Canis lupus familiaris: one gene and its partners. The protein of the gene in region 1 interacts with the protein of each later gene in a pairwise test. Links are inferred from orthologs where the notes say so. Each region holds a gene or a part of one and is shown on either strand. Other genes may lie near its edges.

Region 1 (6,128 bases):
TGCTCATTTTTAGTGGTTTAGTGGGTATAAGCCTTGTAACAAGGTTGGGGCTTGTGAGCATGGCAATACCTATAAAGAACATGTGAGGGGAAGTAACAGCACCTGGAGGGGCAGAGGTGACTCTACAGAAATAAGATGGTTACTTTCACCAAGAAGCAGACCCAGAAAGGCATATGCTGATGGCAGGGAAGGATTTTTTTTTTTCTGTAGTCTTTAAAAAATGCTTTGAATGGCTTTAGATTTTGTTGGAAAAGAGAATAACTTTTAAAGGATGCCCTAGATCATGATGTAGTCTCAGTACCTGGAAATGGCTCTCCCCTCCAGAGTAATTTATAGACAAGAAATCTGAGTTGTATAAAATGGAAATGCCCAATACAGAGCTGGAATCAGAACATGTATTTCTTGACTTTGAATCCATCATTCTTTCTAATATCAGCCCTGAAACATTTCCCCTTAGTCTGGTGGTCTCAGGCAGCTGAATCTATTGTGTCAGGTGTGTCAGCCATGAATCATAATGGGTCCAGGATCTTTCAGTAGTCATGCACAGCAGCTTTATTTGCATGTATCATAGAACTAAATGAGGACTCAGACATCTCCTTCGGAGGTTTTCAAATGTTACTTTAACACTGAAACCCTTTGTTCAAACAATATTTCTGTAGCAGCTTAATATATAAAGCAGACTTTAAAAAAAGCTGATTTAGTTGAAATGAATATTAGGGGATCTGGACCACTGCCTGATCCTACCGCCCACTGGCCCCACAGTTACAACTATTAGGCTTCCAAGATGCACCATAGTTAGAAAGAAAGAAAGAAAAAAAGTCTACTTGCTGGCTTTTGTTTTATCACCAGGGTTTCTTTGATGCAGGGGAAAAAGGACATTATTTTAGACTTCATTGGAGAAAAATCCATTTTCTCAAATGTGGCAAAAATTGCCTGTAGGGACATATTGCAGTGAGCATGAGTCCACGGGAGTCCAATGAAAGGGAAGACATAAAATATAAAGAAACTGGCCTTTATAAGTGTCCAAAACAGACATTTGTATGTATTAATCAACTTGAGCATAACTGACTCACCATTTCTAAGAACTTTCCCAAAGAAAACAAAATCTGGGAAAAATTTCTCTTAGTATAAATAATTGTGAGTGCTGATTTGAAATCATTGTATAGATGTTTTATAGGGTCTGTAGTGATGGCTTTTTCTAGAGCATCTGCAAAATAGCATCTGCTTTGGACAAGGCACCCTGTAATCTGATGGGACAGTGTCTCTAAAGGAAGAGACTGGTTTCATTTCATGGATTATCTGGAAATTACTTGGAGCCTCCAGAGCCTTCCTGGGATGAGGTTCAGTGATCTTTGTATAAGGGAAATGAAGGCGGGCCCACGATCAAACAATCACAATTTACACAGTGATGGATCTCAGAAGGTAGTCCCAAAGCCAGGTTTGGTTGTTACTGATGTTTTTAATGATTACACTGCCAGTGAGCTCATGTCTTAGAATCTTCCAGGACCTAAGGCTCCCTCAAGATGGTGGCGTACTCATAATCCATTTCAATGTTTTCTCCATCCTAAATCCATGACTGAATGCTTAATAGTATCTGCTCCTTCTTTGTCTGGAGATTCTTGTTGCCCAGCACTACTTACCAGCTTGGCACACAGGGGTAACTCTCCCTCGGGAAGAAAGGGAGTCTGTGTACCAGTGGTGCCGATCACCAGCACATTCTTCTTCAAGTCGATGGAACACTGGTGTCTCCTGAGCATATCCAGCCCCAGAAGCATGTCCATGGGCTGCTCCTCCAGGATGGAGAAAGAGCACTGTAGGAAATCACCTTCAATCTGAATCTGAGCTAGATGGACTCGGCCAATAATCCTCTGCGTGCCCACCCCTTTGGCAATGCCAGCCCACCGGCGGTCCACCAGCCGTATTATATTACATCTCTCGGCACAGGCTTGGCTCATGATAGTCATCTGGGCTCCAGAGTCCACGAAGGCCTTCAGAGGATGTCCATTCACTTTGCAGTTGATATAGAGCATGGCCACTTGTCCGAAACTCTCTGGAGCCTCCTCCATCGCTATGTTCATATTTTCCTCGATGTTCTGCTGCCGGATTTCTTCTTCTATTTTGGCCTGAGCTTCCAAGTCGAATGGGTCGGCAGTGTAGAGGCGCAGCCGCTCCTGCTCTCTCAGGGCCCTTTCTCTCTGCTGCTCCATGAGGACATGAGAAAATGTGTCAAGGTTCCCGCTGAGCAGGGCTTCGGCCAGGGGCGGGTTGCGCTCCTTGAGCAGTGACAGGTCGTGGGGGTTGGACAGTAGCATGCTCCGGATCAACGCGGGGCTGTCCAGGCCCTGTGTGGGTGTCATCTTCTCTCCGGAGTCCAGGCCGTGGGACTGCTGCGCTGACGGGGCCCGCTGCTGCTGCTGCTGCTGCTGGCGGGAGCTGGACGTGCCCGGCACGGCTAAACTGGTGAAATCTACCTGCAGCAGGCTGGATGTTCGTCCGTGCGGCCGCGGCCCCGCGCTCTCCCTCTGCAGCAGCACCACCACGTCACCGTCTCTGAGGCCGTAGGAGCCCAGGGAGCAGCGGTCGTCGGTGAGGAGCCGCTCCATGAAGATGATCTGGATCTCGTCCACAGGGATGCCAGACTCGAGCTCACAAAGGAGGCGGAAGTTGTGCAGTTCGAAGTCAGGGTTGACCTGGAGGGAGAAGGTCGCCTCGGACAGGTCCCTCCGCACACAGTACACGGTGATCAGCATGACATTGGCCCAGGCAGGCCAGACGGGCACAGGGCATCGGGGTGTCCTCTGGCTCCCTGGAGCTAGGTCTCGTCGGTGGTGTCTGGGCTTCGTTCTGTTCACTCCTGCACGAGGCCCAGCTGCTCACCAGTGCAGTGCCGGCTGCTTGGCGGCTCGGAACCCTGAGGAGGCCCGGGTGTTCCAGGGCTCATTTGTATGGCACTGCTTGGAACTTGGAATGCCTGTTCCCACAGAGGTGCCCGGCTCCGCCCACTGGTTCCCGGGCCAGCCCTTCCCACCCTGCCTCACCCACGATTTGGAAGATTATCTCAGCTCTTCCTAAACAACATTTCATCTTGGTCACTTGAGAGTGGTATTCTACATGCTTCTCCTTAGACCCAGACAGGGGTGCTTGGTCCCTGCATGGCGAGCATCACGCTATGTGCTTGGGATGAGAGACGGGTCAGACTTGGTGCCCTACTGTGATGACCTCACATTCTCTGGAGGGGGGATTGATGATAAATGAGGGAATCATAATACAGGAGGTAAGTGAGACACCCCAGACAACACTTAACAGAAGCCAGAATTCACAATAAGGCCTGTTGTTTTCTAGGAAAATGGAGGACGTCCAATGTCATAGGAGAAATTTGTACATGATTTTGGATGGCTTGATGTGAAGCTGGAAAGAAAACAATTAGAACCAGTTTTTAGAGTTATACGTGAATCCAAGGAATGTAGATAGTATTAATACACAAGAATCCTCCATCCAAAAACATAAAAAAAGGAGGGAAAGAAAAGAGAAAAAAAAAGAAAGGAAATGGGAAAGATTTGAAGGAAGTGTTTATGATTTTTTTCTATTTAATTGATTTAAGGAAGAGGTTTCTCATGACCTATGAAGGACACATGGTGGCGGGAGGGCCAGGTAGATGCCTTCTTGTTGGTTTAGAGAGGGCACTGTTGCTAGAAGATGAAAATATAAGGACGACCAAAGCGAATGCAGTGGGGAATAAGAGAGATCATTGAGTAGAATGGATGGGACGTCTTGAGACATTGGATGTGGGCTGCATGAAAGAACAGAATGTGTGGATGACATAGAGGGTCATCACCATCACCCTACCTTCAATGGATGTGTGAGATGAACCTTTGAGGAGACCAGTTTGATGTTGGTTTTGGAGTAAAATGGATCATGAATGCCCATCTCAGGGCCGTGAATGGCTCCCTCTCTGACGTAGGGCACAGGACCCTCCCACACACAGCAGAGTGGAGACATTAAGAACATTGATAGAGAGGTCCTTCTGGGCAGATGGTGGCTGGGTACAATCCTTGAGTGCCACTTCCTTTTCTCTGTATCTCACAGTGTGTGTGAGGAGCTCCTGCTTCCAGGGTGTGGTCTCCCCAGGTGTGTTTATTTACAAACCAAAAGATAGTTAACATCTTCTGCCTTGCCCCACCTCCCTCTTTATTTCAAGGTTTGTCAGGAGACCTGCACCATTAGAGGTTACATCAACTTAAAGAACTGTTTTAGTTTCCATTTCTCATGTGTTTGTCTCAGATAAAGGACTATATCTTATTCATTGCTCTAATTATCATTATATTTCCATACTCATATTCATTTATATTGGAAATGTTGACTAAATGCCTAGCGTGTGTGAAGCATATGCTAAGTTCTGGGGAGGCATGCATGAATAATGTTAAGTGTAAGCTATGCTCGTAGAGGAGCCAGTCTAAAAGAGGATGCATGCACACATATGCGTATGCATGCACACACACACATGTAAACACAAATGCACATGTGCACGCAAATACACATGCATGCATGCACGCACGCACACATACATGGACATGTGTGCATGTACACACATGTACATGCATGTGCACATGCAGACACATACACATACATACATACAGATACAAAACATGTATACACATACACAGGCGTACACACGTGCATATGCATGCACACATAGATGGGTATACTTATGTACATGCACACATATACACACGCACATGCATATACACATACATACACACATGCACCCACATACATAGATAGGCATAAGATATGTGCTTATGCATGCACCCATATAGACATACATGTACACACAAGCATACACACATACATGCATATGCACACACACTTCCATATATACATATACACACATAATACCAGAGAGGTCAGTACAACAGGAGAGAAATGAATACTATCCAGAGAACAAATGCAGAATGTGAAAAGGGAGTCAGGCAGGGACGCTTCCTGAACATGCTGGGTTTAGAGACATGGCAAGAAGTCAACCACAGGGGGCTGGATGCAGTGGAGACCCAGGGCCAAGAAGTGCATGGCCCCAACTTCATACCTTCAACCAGAAAGGCAGCAGCCCTTCAGGATGAGGAGGATTTTATAAACTTTCAGGGGGAAATAATCTAGCATTATAATTTTCCTGTAGAAAATTCTGAATTATTTAGAGCCAATCTTCACTATTTGTAGAGGTGGATGGCCCTTTGACTCCCAATATTAAGTTAATAAATTTCTTGTGTAGTTCTTTCTTCGCGTCTCGGTAGGTTCCTCAGAGATCAGCTGTGGTCGTGCTGAGCTCGTGGGGTGACACCCGCCATGGACAAACAATTCTGCCAGAAGCCAGCAAGGCTCAGGTTCCATGTCCTGTTTTACTTCCCACCAACCAGCTTTCAACAGTTTGTTTTTTAAATTTTAATAAGTTAGGGACATAATTCTGGGGGTTTGTTTTTTGTAGAATAGGCTTTTCCTATTTTTTTGGCAAAGTGAAAATCCGGGGTTCACATCAAAAGAAACGAACATCTCTTTTTTTTTCGTATTACCATTGCTTTGATACTGAACATAATTAAGCTTTGTGCAGTATGTTTTATTAGCTTGCTGTAATTCTTTTGTTGGCATTTTGCATTTATGTGCATTTATGTACTATTTTATCCTTTTCTGAGAACACACAGTGTAAAGCAGAAAGCCTCAAGGTCTGGCCAATTAAGTGTCATCATCCCCTAGAATATGACTCAGGATATCAGGATTAGTGTCCTCTGGTCCAGCCATCATGCAGGCCAAAAATATCTGTTGCAAAACAGCTTGGAATCTTGTAACGCCAAACATAGCCTTCTGAGGCTATATATATATATATATATATATATAATGGTTCTTTCATTTTACTCAGTACTGTGGGTGATTCAGATACCACCATATGTGTAATTATCTTACCTCAAAATTGTAATTAAAAACTTACTCTGATTATGCAATAAACTCAGGGATCATTGGGAGTGTATATAAATATCCCTAAATATAAAATGTTCCCATACTATAAATTCCTGCTGCACAGACTCTTGAGAAATGGGCTGTCGGAATTATCTAGATGTACAAATCCAAGTAACTGGAAG
Region 2 (6,356 bases), on another chromosome or scaffold:
AAATGAACTTCATCTCACTCTGAGGGATGGGCAATGGATGCCTGGAAACACTGATGACATGGATTGAGACCAATTCCTGGCACAGAGGAAAGGAGTGCTACTCATTCATAATGCCACCATCAGAGAGTGGTGGCACAGATGTTATATATTCCCCATCCCTGGTCTAGGAAAAAGGCATCCAACAACTCACCCATCTTCCCTTTCTGTCACTATGCTGCCTCACGAATGCTCTGCATTAAGCCACTGCTCATTAGATGTTGGTTGATCAAGAAGGCCAAGGCCTTTCCACTCGATTTACCTGTGTGGCCAAACAGGTAGGGTCATGACTTTACCTGGAAATCTGAAAACATGGCATCCACAATGCTCATTAAGTAAGTCTTTATTGAAAGAAAATAAGCATTTACTTCTAATACCCTTTGGAGAGAAAGAGCTTGTCCATCTCAATACAACTTTAATTGATGTCTAAGGCATTTGGAATTACTTGGGATTTTGGTTCAAAAAAACATGGCCGAGTTCAATTCTCTTTGGTATTCATGCTTAATCTTAATCTATTTGTTTCTTAGTAGAATCCATAACCTTCTCAGTACTTCATTGTTATGACTTAACCAACACTGTTGAAATAACTCATATATTTTCATCAGAAAAACTTTGAAGGATGCTAAGGGGAGAGGCCTCTGAAACCAAGGGTCTTAAGAAGAAAGCCAGGAAAAATGACAGGAAGAACCAACTTCCCTCTACCAATCCACACTCAGGATTCACTCTGCCACTCAGACTATTCTTAGTAAAATAGGTTGCTTCTGGCAGGATGGCTCCCACTATCAGGGGTCCTCCACTAACTCCCCTCTCTGCAGTGGGAGGTTAGTACCCCTCAGAAGTATTTCAGAAAAGAAGGATGAAACATTTGGAGGAAGGAAGAAAATGGAAGGATATCATCAAAGAGCACTACATTGTATACCTAAAACTAATATAACACTGTATATTAACTATACCGGAATAAAAATAAAAATTAAAAAAAAAGGCAAAGTCCTGGGGGATGACGGGATTTTCAATGCAACATTCCCTCATCATAGGTAGAGTCTTTAATACAACACTGGCACCAATACGAGAACAGAGCTAAATTAAAATTATCCTCAAAATGCCAATGTAGCTCATGTGCACGGCAGGAAAAAGGGTGACCCAAATCCACAGATCTGTTCCTACTGCACATTGTGCCTTGCCCAAGTACCACTGGCAGTCCAGAGTAACAAAACTTTGTTAAAAGTCTGTGTATCTTAGAGCTATAATATGCCACGACACGTGCGTGCACACACACATACACACACAGATAATATGCACATATACACACACATCAAACCTGGTTTATAAAAAGAACTTTGTGGATCAGAGTATTCCTTCACTTGGTCCAAGAATCTAATTGTTGGCATTAGGAAAACACATCCAAAGAATGTAATCAGGAAGAGAACTGGTTGGCAGCAATATTACATTTTATATGATGTGGTTATTTACAAGCTAAGGTCAAATTGTCCAGAACTAATTCAACTGGCTAGAATCTTCTGGATATACAAGGTTAAGCTTTAAAAAAATTAAAATTTGTAGCAACAAAAGTCAACACTATCTAAAATAAATTAGATTTTTAAATATATGCAATGAAATTATAGGTCACTGGAAATTCAATTACATAATGAATATAAATTAATATAAATCTATTATTAGAGTACCATCCCCAAGATGATTTCAGTTCCGAGTTTTAAAAAAAAAGGCTAAGTATTTGAGAATAAATGGATATGGCTTAGAAACCCTTAAGTAGTGTAAGTAGAGTACTGGTATGATTATTTGGTAACAAGATCAAAGAGCTGTCTCCAAGTCCACAACAAAGGCTTGCCTCATTTTACTTAATAGTCCTGAAAAGTTGTGCAAATAGGATTTTTATAACCAGATCCTGATTTTAACTCCACTAGCTGGCCATGGTTGTTAAAGAAACCCTGCAGTGACTCTTCTGATGACCTGAAGAGCTCTGCTGAAGTGATCAACCCCTCTGCACCACATCTGCATGGCGAATACACGCCGGAAGCAGCGGGTAAGTGCGGAATGCATGGATTTGCCATGATTTTTTTTTCCTGCGGGACTTTCTTAAAGTGAGACATGCTGTAACTGGAACGTTAGAACAGAAAGATGGACTCCAGCTCACGGCTTCACTGATTCCATCACAAAAGATCAGAGAAGTTCAGAAAGAATAAGATTTCTCTAAGTATACATTTTCAAAGGGATGGACCTATGACTGGCAGCAGCTTTTATTCGTGTTAGGTGACTTACTGAAAACAACTGCTGGAGCTTGGTTCCATTCAACAACCAAGGCAAGAAGGGAACCTACCTAAATCCAGAGAAGCCACCAGAAGCCGTACCATCTCTAAAAGAGCCCCTTCTCTCTCCAGCACAAATGTTCTACAGCTATCCTCACCTTACCTCATAAGAGCAAAGCATGAATTAAAAGGTTAAGATTAAATTAGAGAGATGCCTGATCTAAAGATGACAGTTATCTTTCTTACCCCAAAAAAGAGAACTAAGTCAAATACATTCATTAAAAGTAACTCTTAAAGGCATTTTTTTTTCCTTATTTGGCCTTTCCTTCCCTTCCCATTTAAATTTAAGACTCAATTTCAAAAATATATATATGTATATATATCTCCATCCTTTTAAACAATATATCCTCTCTTTTAAACAATACAGAATGCCTAGCCATGCAACTTATCTAACCACATAAATTTGCAACCTGCTACCTAAATAAAATAAGAGGTTACATCTGCCTATCTATTCAGTACACATAATTGCAAAAAAGTTTGGAAAAATAGCTGAGAAGGTTTTAAGCAAGAGAGGGAGGACTGGATGCTGTAAGAACTATAGGGCTCCATCATTGTAAGCTTCCTAAAAGATAGTGTAAATAAAATATCTAAATACAGAACCCGATTTTTAAACCACTGGAAGGATATGTGGGGAGAAAAGGGGCAAATGACAATGTTAATATAAATATTTGTCAAGTATGTGAAGAACAACAACAAAAATCTCTCACTGAAGGTATTAATGATATTTCAAGTGACCTAAATAAAATGGATTTTAAAATGATCTTTACCATTCACGTCAGTTATTGACTTTGGCCCTTTACTAAAGCAGACACAATGAATCTTCTTTTTGATGATCAGTTTCAGTCACTGGCCCAAGGGTATCATATTTGGATGAAAATATTATCATGGATTTGCTCCCATCATTTAAAAATCAATAATTAAAAAAATAATAAAGTTGGTCTCTTTTCTCCACGTGTTTTCAAGTAATTAGTTCAAGTAAGCTTATTTACAGCTATTGTACATGTGACCTACTTTAACTCATGTTTTCCCTTTAGAAATCGGTCTCCCTTGAAATGGGATACTACATTTTTTTTCCTTTTTCTGTCTTGAACCAGGTTTCTTTTAAATCCTCAGTCAGTTCAGTCATGTTTCTGCTTTATTGGGCAGATAAAGAGAGGAAACCAGCAAGTTGTGTCCAAAGGCTGGGAAACGCCTAAATGCTTCCCAACTATCTGAAAAGATGTTGTATTTGAGGAAAACTCGATGTTCCAAGCTGGTTGACAGGGTAACGTCTCTGCTCATGATGTAGATGCCATCATTGTGAAGTGCGCAAGTCAAGTTAAGACCCGATTTGGATGTGTTCTCCTTGAGGTAGAGCCACTGCCTTGTGACAGTGTTGTAGGACTGCACGGTGAGCATGTCCTCGCTCTGGCTGCTCCTCCGGTTGGGCCCCAGTTCATGCAGACATCCCCCCACGATGTAGATGGTCTCCTCAACAGATACCATCTGCTGCTTGCGAATGTGGACATCGCAGGTTTCAAAGAGCGTCCAGATGTCGGCAGAGGGGCAGTACTGCAAAATGTTCATGTTGCGGTCTGAAATGAAGAAAGAGGTCAAATGATGACACAGACATAAGTAACACCACCGTCTGCCTAAGCTGTAATAAACACCGACCCCCACCTGAATAATTTGGTAACAGAGAGGCAAAACTATTTCAGAGAAGCAGAGGTTGGAACAACAGTTCTCGAAATGACTAGGAGGTGATCTGTTTAGATTCATTCCCATAATCCAATCAGGTGTGTCCCCTCCCTGGGAGGCTCTCAGAATCCAGAGGGCCAGGACATGGCCAGCTGTGATTGGAGCATACCCTCCTCCTCCCTGGTACCCCTACACAGTTTAGAACCACCAAAATCCATGTAAAAAGAATCAGCGCCTGGAACTCTCTTCAACAGCTACAGAATTACTGACTTCTTAATACAGATGATAGGCTGAGCCCGAAGAGGATCTACTTTTGATAGCCAACTATACTAAATAAGACAAGTGAGCCAAGCAAGATCTTCAGGGGCTAGTCTAAAGGAAATCACACAATTGCAGGTCAGGAGAAACCCAAGAAACTATCACCTATGCCCTTCAAGCCATAGAATCACTTGGCAATTCTATTTCTCGGTTGTAACAGGAGAGACATACTAACAAAGGCCCTTCCCTCTTCCTGTGCCCACTTCACAAGAGATGACTAGTTCTTATGTGGGTAAAATCAGAAAGCAGATCAAAGGCTACTCCAAAATCATCTTGCATTCATAGCTGCTTTAAGGAAAAAATATTGTTTACTCTCTTTTTGAAAAAAATGCTTGTGAAATTTAAAGTATCTCTTTTCATTTTTCCCTTATTATTTGTTCTTTTTTTTCTCCTCCTTGCGGAAAAAATAAATGGAATATTTTAGTCTCAGCAGAATAAAAAATGCTCTGAGTTATCAGAAAGAATGAACTTTCTGTTTGTTGTTTTTGTTTAAACAACAAAATTCATCAGTGTAAGAGACAACTCAGCTTGGGAACAGATATGTAACTAAGGCGTACAACACTTCCCCCTGGGGGTGAGACACAGGAGGACCCACTCCCAGTTAGCAATGATGAAAGAGCTCCACCACTACTGCTGACACCAATCGAGTGCCTGGTAAGAGAGCACAGAAAGAACTAGAAGGAGGAACATTTGGGGGGCTCAGTGGTTGAGCATCAGCCTTGGGCTCAGCTCAGTGATCCCAGGGTCCTGGGATCAAGTCCCACATCGGGCTCCCTGCAGGGAGCCTGCTTCTCCTTCTATGTCTCTGCTTCTCTCTGTCTCTCATGAATGAATGAATAAATGAATGAATAAATAAATAAATCTTAAAAAAAAAAAAGAACTAGAAGGAGACTGAACCTTTCGTTTACCACATGTCCCCATGCCTGTAGAAATTTCAGAACTGCTACAGCTTTAGGAAACTGTCCTTTTTTTCCACCCACATTAATACCTCCCTACCTTTCTTTTTATTGTAGCTACTGTGATAAAACTCATTCTGGAGACAGTCCAAGGGAGTTTGGTTCCAATCTATCAAAAAGTGCTCCTTAGTAACCTGGCTTTCCCTCCACATGAATAAAGGACTTATTCTAGTGAGGCTTCCATGGATTTCTCAGTCCCTGGTCTGAAGGTCTTCCCAGGTCTTCTGTAAATGTTTTTTCTCCTCACCCAACAAGGGCTCAGACCATGATGAGGTGGTTTGAGTTGGTGGAATACTCTTTTTGCTTTTACATTTGGAGGTGATTCTGAACTTTAACAAATCACCCTTCTTCCCTGGAGTGGTTACTATTGCTTTCTATTGAATTTTTCATTTCCTCAGTGCCTGCTACAGAATTAATATAATCAAACAGCTATCATAAAAATTGTGAATTACTTACTAAATTTTAAAGTCTACCTAACTTAAGAAGTTAGCAGGCTAATAACCCAACTTTGAGCCCTGCATTTGTTCATAAAACAAAACAATTCTGATTTCTTATTCTAAATACAGGTAACTATTAGGAAGTGCTGAGAAGATCCCAAACAGAAGAGGAGGGGAATTTCAGAGTACAAGGAACTGTCCTGCCCTCTCATCTCAGAAAACCCATTTTCAACCTTTACACAAACATCCATCCATCCACATCACCCAACCATCCCATCACAGGTATTTGGCTTGGGGAACCCGAGACAGGAATCACCGTGGGTGGCCCAAGTGAAGAAGGTATATTAGTAGTGGCTTGAGAAACTAGAAAACACACAAGCAAGGGTTTTCCAGGTCAGATCTAAAGAACATTTGCTCAGCCAGGCCATGGAAGAACTAGGAAATCTACCAGCAGGGTACTCTTTGGGCTACAGTACTGCCTGTCAGTGTTTCCCAGCTCCTGGTCACAAGAGAAGCCAAGGGTTATGTGTGCATTATGTCAGCCCAAAGGGTGCTTTCTGTGTGACAAAATCTAGGGAGCAATCAGAATTCTTAGAAATGTTCAAAAG
Region 3 (6,016 bases), on another chromosome or scaffold:
AACGCGGTCCATGTGTTTCTGATTCACGGGGACTTGGACTGGCCAGCTCTCTCTCCTTTTCCCTCTCCGGTCCCTCTAGGGCCTCTGTAAAAAAGCCCTTTTCTCTAGAAGCAGGAAGTCTTGTCTCCTGGCTGTAAACAAACTCATCTCTGGCAGCTGAGCCGGCCTCTCCGGCCTGGGTGGAGGCTGGGAGGGCAAGCCCCTTCCCCCACTGACCCTCCCTGGCCCCGCCGTCAGCTTCCGGCAGCCACCCCGGCTCTGCCAGCACCTCCTGCGGCAGGTAAAGATCTTCTATCTGCTTCCCGTCCACGTCCCCCTCCCCACCCCGGGATCTGGGGCAGGCCAGGGCCCAGCTGTGCACATCTGGCCTCACTGCCGAGCTGTAGCCAGAAGTTCCCGAGATTTCTACTCTCCTGGGGTGGTGCCGATGTGGGGGAAGGGAGCAGGAGCAAGCTGGGGCCCGTGTGGCCAGCAGCAGGAAGGTCAGGAGGCCCGGCCTCCCAAGTCCGCCCTCGGGGGACCTCCTCCAGAGCTGGGCCCCGAGGCCTGCGAGCAGGAGGTCCAGGAGGTCCGTGGGCCGCTCGGAGCCCGGGGAGCAGACGCGCCTTTTCCATGGGAAACTGCTGGGAATGTTTCTCGACAACGCGTGTCCTGAGCCGCTGGCTGACCCCTGCTTCCCATTCCCGCCTACGCTCCTCTTTCTCCTTCCTACTCCAGCCCTGCCTCCGCCCCTCCATTGAGCTCCCAGAGCTGCCTGCCCCTTGGGGGCCTGGGCAGGCCGGAGTGTTCCCAGCCACCATGTCTGGGGGCCAGCCCTCCCCTTGAGCTCCGAGTCCGCTGGAGTCCCTGAGGCTGGCCACCCTCCTCGAGCCCATCTCCGTGGCCCTCACCCCAGAACTGGGAACCTGGCCTCTAGGGTCAACCTGGAAGTAAACACCCCTGAAGGTGTGTGCGGGGTAGCGACACCCACGCAGGCCCCTTGTGCGCTTGGGCATGTGCACGTGTGTGCACACACCCTCGTGATTCTCCTGGCTCCGGCCCTGCTGAGGCAGAGGCAGGAGGGAGCACTGGTCAGCATTAGCTGACAAACAGCCCCATGTGATTGGTACCGGGGAGGAAGTGGTGGGGAATTAGCCTGGCCTGCCTCTGGGCCCGATGAGCTAGCCTTCCCGCCAGGAACCTCGTAGGGCCTCTCTGCCCTGGGCGGCCGTGGTCTTGGGCCGCTCTGAGTGCTCTTGTGTTCTAGGGAAGGGGATGGCTCTACCCCAGGAGAATCTGTTTGGGGCTCATGGCTCGGAGCAGCCTCTATCTAGTAGGGGCCCGGCCCTTTCCCATCATGCCTCTTCTTAAGCGTCAGACCCCAGACCTAGCCTCCCGAAGAGTTCCTGCCCCAGCAGTCAGCTCCTGTGCCCCAGGAGAGATGGGAGACCGGGGGGGGGGGGGGGGGGGGGGCAGGGGAGGACGGCGGGGAGGCTGTCCGGCCCACCCTCACCCCTCCTCACGTGGTGGTGTTGGGGACCTGCTGTACCCAGCCCACTTCTTTGTAGGCAGCGGTCACATGGCTGTAGATGAGGCTACGCAGCTTGGCCCAGGCTCTCTGCGTCTCAGGTGGGAAGTCATTGGCAAATTCCTCGGCGATCACCTCCAGAATCACCCCAGAGAGGATCTGGGGGCAAAGGGAGGAGGGAGAAGTAAACGCCTGGTTGCCCTGCCTCCTCACCCCCGAAGCCCCCAAGGCCCCCAGCACCCCTTCTAGACAGGTTTTGGCCAGGGGGATCATTCACAACAGGACAGCCTGGCAACTTTGAGACCCAGCCCCCACCTGATCCTGCAGCCCCCTCCCTGTCACAACCATGTGGAGGTTGAGGGGGGAGAGGCTGGGCTGCCCAGTGGTCCCCTCTGTTCCCCAGTGGTGCTCCCAGAGCAGGGTGGGCGGAGGATTGGCCACAGCCACCTACCTTGAAGTACACAGGCTCCACCTTGTGCTTGAGGGCGTGGGCTTTGCCCACAAGGGCGAGCACGGAGGACACCTTCTCCGGGTCGTGTAGGTTCTCCACGACAGTGTTGAGGGCCCCCATGACCCGGCAGGCGTGTTTCCGCAGCTGGGGGCTCCGCTCCATCTCCAGGGGCTCTGTCATGTGCTTGAACTGGCTGAAGTACTGCTTGGCCGATGGAAAGTTCACAAAGAACCTGGCGGGAGGGCGGGAGTGCTCAAGTCAGGACTGCCTGGGCCCCACCGTGAGGTGGCCAGGGTGACATGGGGAGCCGCCCCAAGGTGGCCAGGGTGATGTGGGGAGCCACCCCAAGGTGGCTGGGGTGATGGGGGAGTCCACCTCAAGAAGGCCAGGGTGACGGGGGGAGCCCACCCTGAGGTGGCTGGGGTAATGGGGGGAGCCCACACCGAGGTGGCCCGGTGATGGGAGGAGCCCACCCCAAGGAGGCCAGGGTGATGTGGAGAGCCCACCCTAAGGTGGCCAGGGTGATGGAGGGAGCCCACCCCGAGGTGGCTGGGGTGATGTGGGGAGCCCACCCCAAGGTGGCTGGGGTGACAGGGGGAGCCCACCTCAAGACGGCTGGGTGGTCGAGGTGACGGGGGACCCACCCGAGGTGGCTGGGGTGACCAGGGAGTCCACCCCAAGGTGCCAGGGTAGTGGGGGTGCGGGGTAGGAGGGGCAGGACCAGTAACTCTTTCACCACCGTGTGTAGCGGGCCCCCAGACACAGACCCTCCCTCTGGCCGAGCTGGTGACATGCCGCCCCGACCCGGGTCCTGGCCATATCTGTGGGCCAAACTTGCACAGACTGTCAGCCCTGTCTCCCAGGCTCCTGTCTTTCTTGCTGTGGCCTCCTTTCCCAGCCCCACCCACCCTCAAGGCCTGCTCCAGGCACAGCAGAGAGGGCCAGAGCTCTAGTTCTGGGCCCCGGGGCCAGCGTGACCTCGGATAAGTGATGGCACTTCTCTGAGTCTCCGTGTCCTCGTCCATGCAACGGGCATGGTTGTTCCTAGCTTGCCATGAGGATGAACTGGGAAACCGCGTGTGGAGTCCTCAGCACAGTGTGAACACCGGGTGCTCGGTCAATGCCAGTGGGTCGTGATCAAGGTAGAGCTCTCTTTGCAAAAAGTAAAGCCCGAGTGACTTGGCTCAGGTCACCCAGTCACGGAGGGAAGAAACACGGGACAGTTCTCCCGCCAGCTCTGTCTGTTCCCTCCTCCCTACCTGCTTCCCTCCTCCGCCTGCTGCGCTTATTGATTGGCTGATTTAATTACAGCTCCGGACTGGTCTTACCCTCCTGGTGTGAGTCCGTCATTACTTCACATCTGTACATCTCGCTTCTCCAAGAAGCCCGTGCACGTCCTGGGGCAGACCCCAGGTCTTTTTAGTGCTCTCCTTCCCTCTCCACTTTACCTGAAATTGCCTAATTCCCCCCAAATGTCACTTTCATTAGGTTACTTTCATGCTCACATTCAGTGGCACCCCAATATCTACTGGACAAAGTCAAAATCCTTAACCTGGGATCTCAGGCTTCCTACAAACTGTCCCAACTCAGCCACCTTCCTCCAGCCCACTCACTGCTGGTAAAACACTCCTCGGGCAGGCCAGCCTTCCTTCCCACTCTTTCTTGCGTTGGACTTGGCCCTCCTACCCCACGGTGCCCAGGCTGTCCCTTTAAGGCCATTAGGGGTTCCCCGCCACCCTTTACCGCTTCTTCCCTTCCTGCCTGTTGGACTGGGTCCCACAACCCAAGGGCAGGGCCTGGGTCTCACACCTGCTGTGACCCATCCCCTCAGCCCAGGGCCCTGGGTCCGCAAGATGACACCAATGCCCTTTGCGTTCTCTCTCCCTGGCAGAGCTGGGTGTTGCAGGAGGTGCAGGTACACACTCACACACACCCGATCAGAACTTCAGAAAACATACGGAATGTCTTGGGCCTGTTTTGTTGGGTTCTCTCACACCTCTGGAGTATCCTCATTTGCGATCAGAGAAAACTGATAATTTGCCAAATCAGCCCTTTGGCCAGAGAGCTGGAACAGATGCAGAGAGAGCTTCTGGCCCAGTCCATCCCGTCAGGCGACAAAGCTGCTGCAGGCGGGGGAGTGGCGAGGACGCAGTCCATGTGGAGACCAAGGGTGACCTTGGGCAAACCACTTCACAACCTCCCGTCTGCAAAAGTGTGAGAGGAGTTCCTCCCACTCGATAGTTCACAGATACACTAGTGAGGACAAATGAGGCAATGAGTCTGAAAATACGTTGGATTTTTCTGGAGACGCATGATATGAAGGACAAATGTAAAGAACCCAATTTGGGCTTAAATGAGTATTACCTTAGACTTTGGGCACTTCACATTGCAATAAAAATAATGATCGCTGTTTGCCTGGTGCGTTCCAATGTGCAAAACATCTCCACCTGTTATTTCACTTAATTGCCACAACCGGGGATGCCTGGGTGGCTCAGCAGTTGAGCGTCTGCCTTTGTCTCGGGGCATGATCCCGGGATCCGGGATCGAGGATCGAGTGCCACATCGGGCTCCCTGCGTGGAGCCTGCTTCTCCCTCTGCCTGTGTCTCTGCTTCTCTCTCTGTGTCTTTCATGAATAAATAAATAAAATCTTAAAAAAAAAATAATTGCCACAACCAAGCAAGCATTGTTATATCCATTTTACTGATGAGGAGCTAACAAGGAAGACTTACTGAGCACTTACTAGATTGTGTCATTAATCCTGCACTAGCCTCCTGAGATTGGCACTGTTTTTATCTCCGCGTTCTGTTTTAGGAATCTATGCCCAGGGTTGCCCAGCAAAGTGGGTGGCAGGGCCAGGAAGACAGACAGACATCTCCTGCCTTGATGGCTTCCGAATCCTGCCTCGGAGAAACTGCTGTGCCAGGGAGATGGGGGCCTGGGGCCCAACGAGTCTCCTGCCTTGACACCCAGGGCCATTATGGCCCTGAGGAATGACAGTCCCAGGGAGCCCCTCTGCTGCACCAGGGGAGTCTGGGGGCCACGTGCTCTGCTCCCTCTTCCTGGCTTCTGTCCCCAGCCCCAGCACTCCCGACCCTCCAGGTCCGGGCCTGTGCTGTGCTGCGCTGCCTGCAGGGGAGAAGCCTCAGCAGCCAGCCTTGGGGAGTTTCTCAGCTCCCAGAGGCATCTGGGCTTCCAACAGAGCCTGAAATAGGCTTGTCTTGAGTGTGAGGGGGGAAGGTGGCAGAGTTACAACCGGGAGGGGAGTCTTCCTAGAGCATGGGTGTTCCCTCTCCACTGGAGTGCAGGTATGGGGTCTGGTTCCGACCCCAAGACAGCTTTTCCACCACCACCAGCACTGCCACCCCCTTCCTGGCTGTGGACTCCTGGGGCTGGGGTGGGGGGTAGGGTGTGGGGGTGCAGCTGGCCTTAGCCCAGCAGGGAGGGAGGACCTGAGAGTGATGGGCCAGAGGACTCAGTGTCTCAGGCTCTCACTGGCGCCTGTCCTTGTGGATGTGTGTGAAGTTGGGGAGGTGTGAGTGATAAAAGTTGGGGGGCACAGGATCTGGGGAGGGGCCTTTGGGACACCAGAGAGGTTTATCAATCTTCCCCTCTAGCCCCTTTAACCAACCTTCTCCCCCACCTGGCAGGTCGGGGGGCAGAGAGCAGGAGGAGACCCAGAGGGAGCAGGCTGGTGGGGCTCGGGTCTGGCAGGGAGGAGCTGGGCCAGCGCTGGGCTCCGACCAACACAGAGGTGGGTCTGGTGGAATGTGGCCCGGGCTGACCAGCCGGCTGGACCTCACTGCTGTCTCAGGCCTTCTGGATTAATTGTGGGCCTCTCACTGAGCACAGAGCACAGGGGTAGATGCCACCACCCCCACCCGCCCAAACTGAGCCTCCCTAAGAGTCAGGAATGGGGAACCGTGCAAGCAGGGGCATATATAGGGAAAGACCTTGTCAAGATGTCAGACTCTCCAGAAACAGCCCTGGCCATAGTGTTCAGGTCTTTCCTCTGCACCCCCCACTCCTGGGGGAGGTTGGGTGGTACCCCAGGGCTGGA

Evidence for each region. The genes of interacting proteins can lie anywhere in the genome.
Region 2: the proteins of DDI1 (region 1) and KLHL42 interact in binary tests that used the Homo sapiens proteins (3 or more experiments, as listed by UniProt). The two-hybrid records come from large-scale screens. The link is inferred for Canis lupus familiaris from reciprocal best matches to the Homo sapiens genes DDI1 and KLHL42.
Region 3: the proteins of DDI1 (region 1) and CYGB interact in binary tests that used the Homo sapiens proteins (3 or more experiments, as listed by UniProt). The two-hybrid records come from large-scale screens. The link is inferred for Canis lupus familiaris from reciprocal best matches to the Homo sapiens genes DDI1 and CYGB.

What each region holds. Positions count from the first base shown.
Region 1 is NC_049226.1:28,116,290-28,122,417, forward strand, and holds DDI1 (protein DDI1 homolog 1), read right to left. Parts: upstream 2,945-6,128; 5' UTR 2,751-2,944; coding exon 1,548-2,750; 3' UTR 1,440-1,547; downstream 1-1,439. UniProt on the Homo sapiens protein: Probable aspartic protease. Seems to act as a proteasomal shuttle which links the proteasome and replication fork proteins like RTF2. Required, with DDI2, for cellular survival following replication stress.
Region 2 is NC_049248.1:26,607,098-26,613,453, reverse strand, and holds part of KLHL42 (kelch-like protein 42), read right to left. Parts: intron 3,935-6,356; coding exon 3,483-3,934; 3' UTR 1-3,482. UniProt on the Homo sapiens protein: Substrate-specific adapter of a BCR (BTB-CUL3-RBX1) E3 ubiquitin-protein ligase complex required for mitotic progression and cytokinesis. The BCR(KLHL42) E3 ubiquitin ligase complex mediates the ubiquitination and subsequent degradation of KATNA1.
Region 3 is NC_049230.1:5,095,161-5,101,176, reverse strand, and holds part of CYGB (cytoglobin), read right to left. Parts: intron 2,191-6,016; coding exon 1,959-2,190; intron 1,667-1,958; coding exon 1,503-1,666; intron 1-1,502. UniProt on the Homo sapiens protein: Probable multifunctional globin with a hexacoordinated heme iron required for the catalysis of various reactions depending on redox condition of the cell as well as oxygen availability.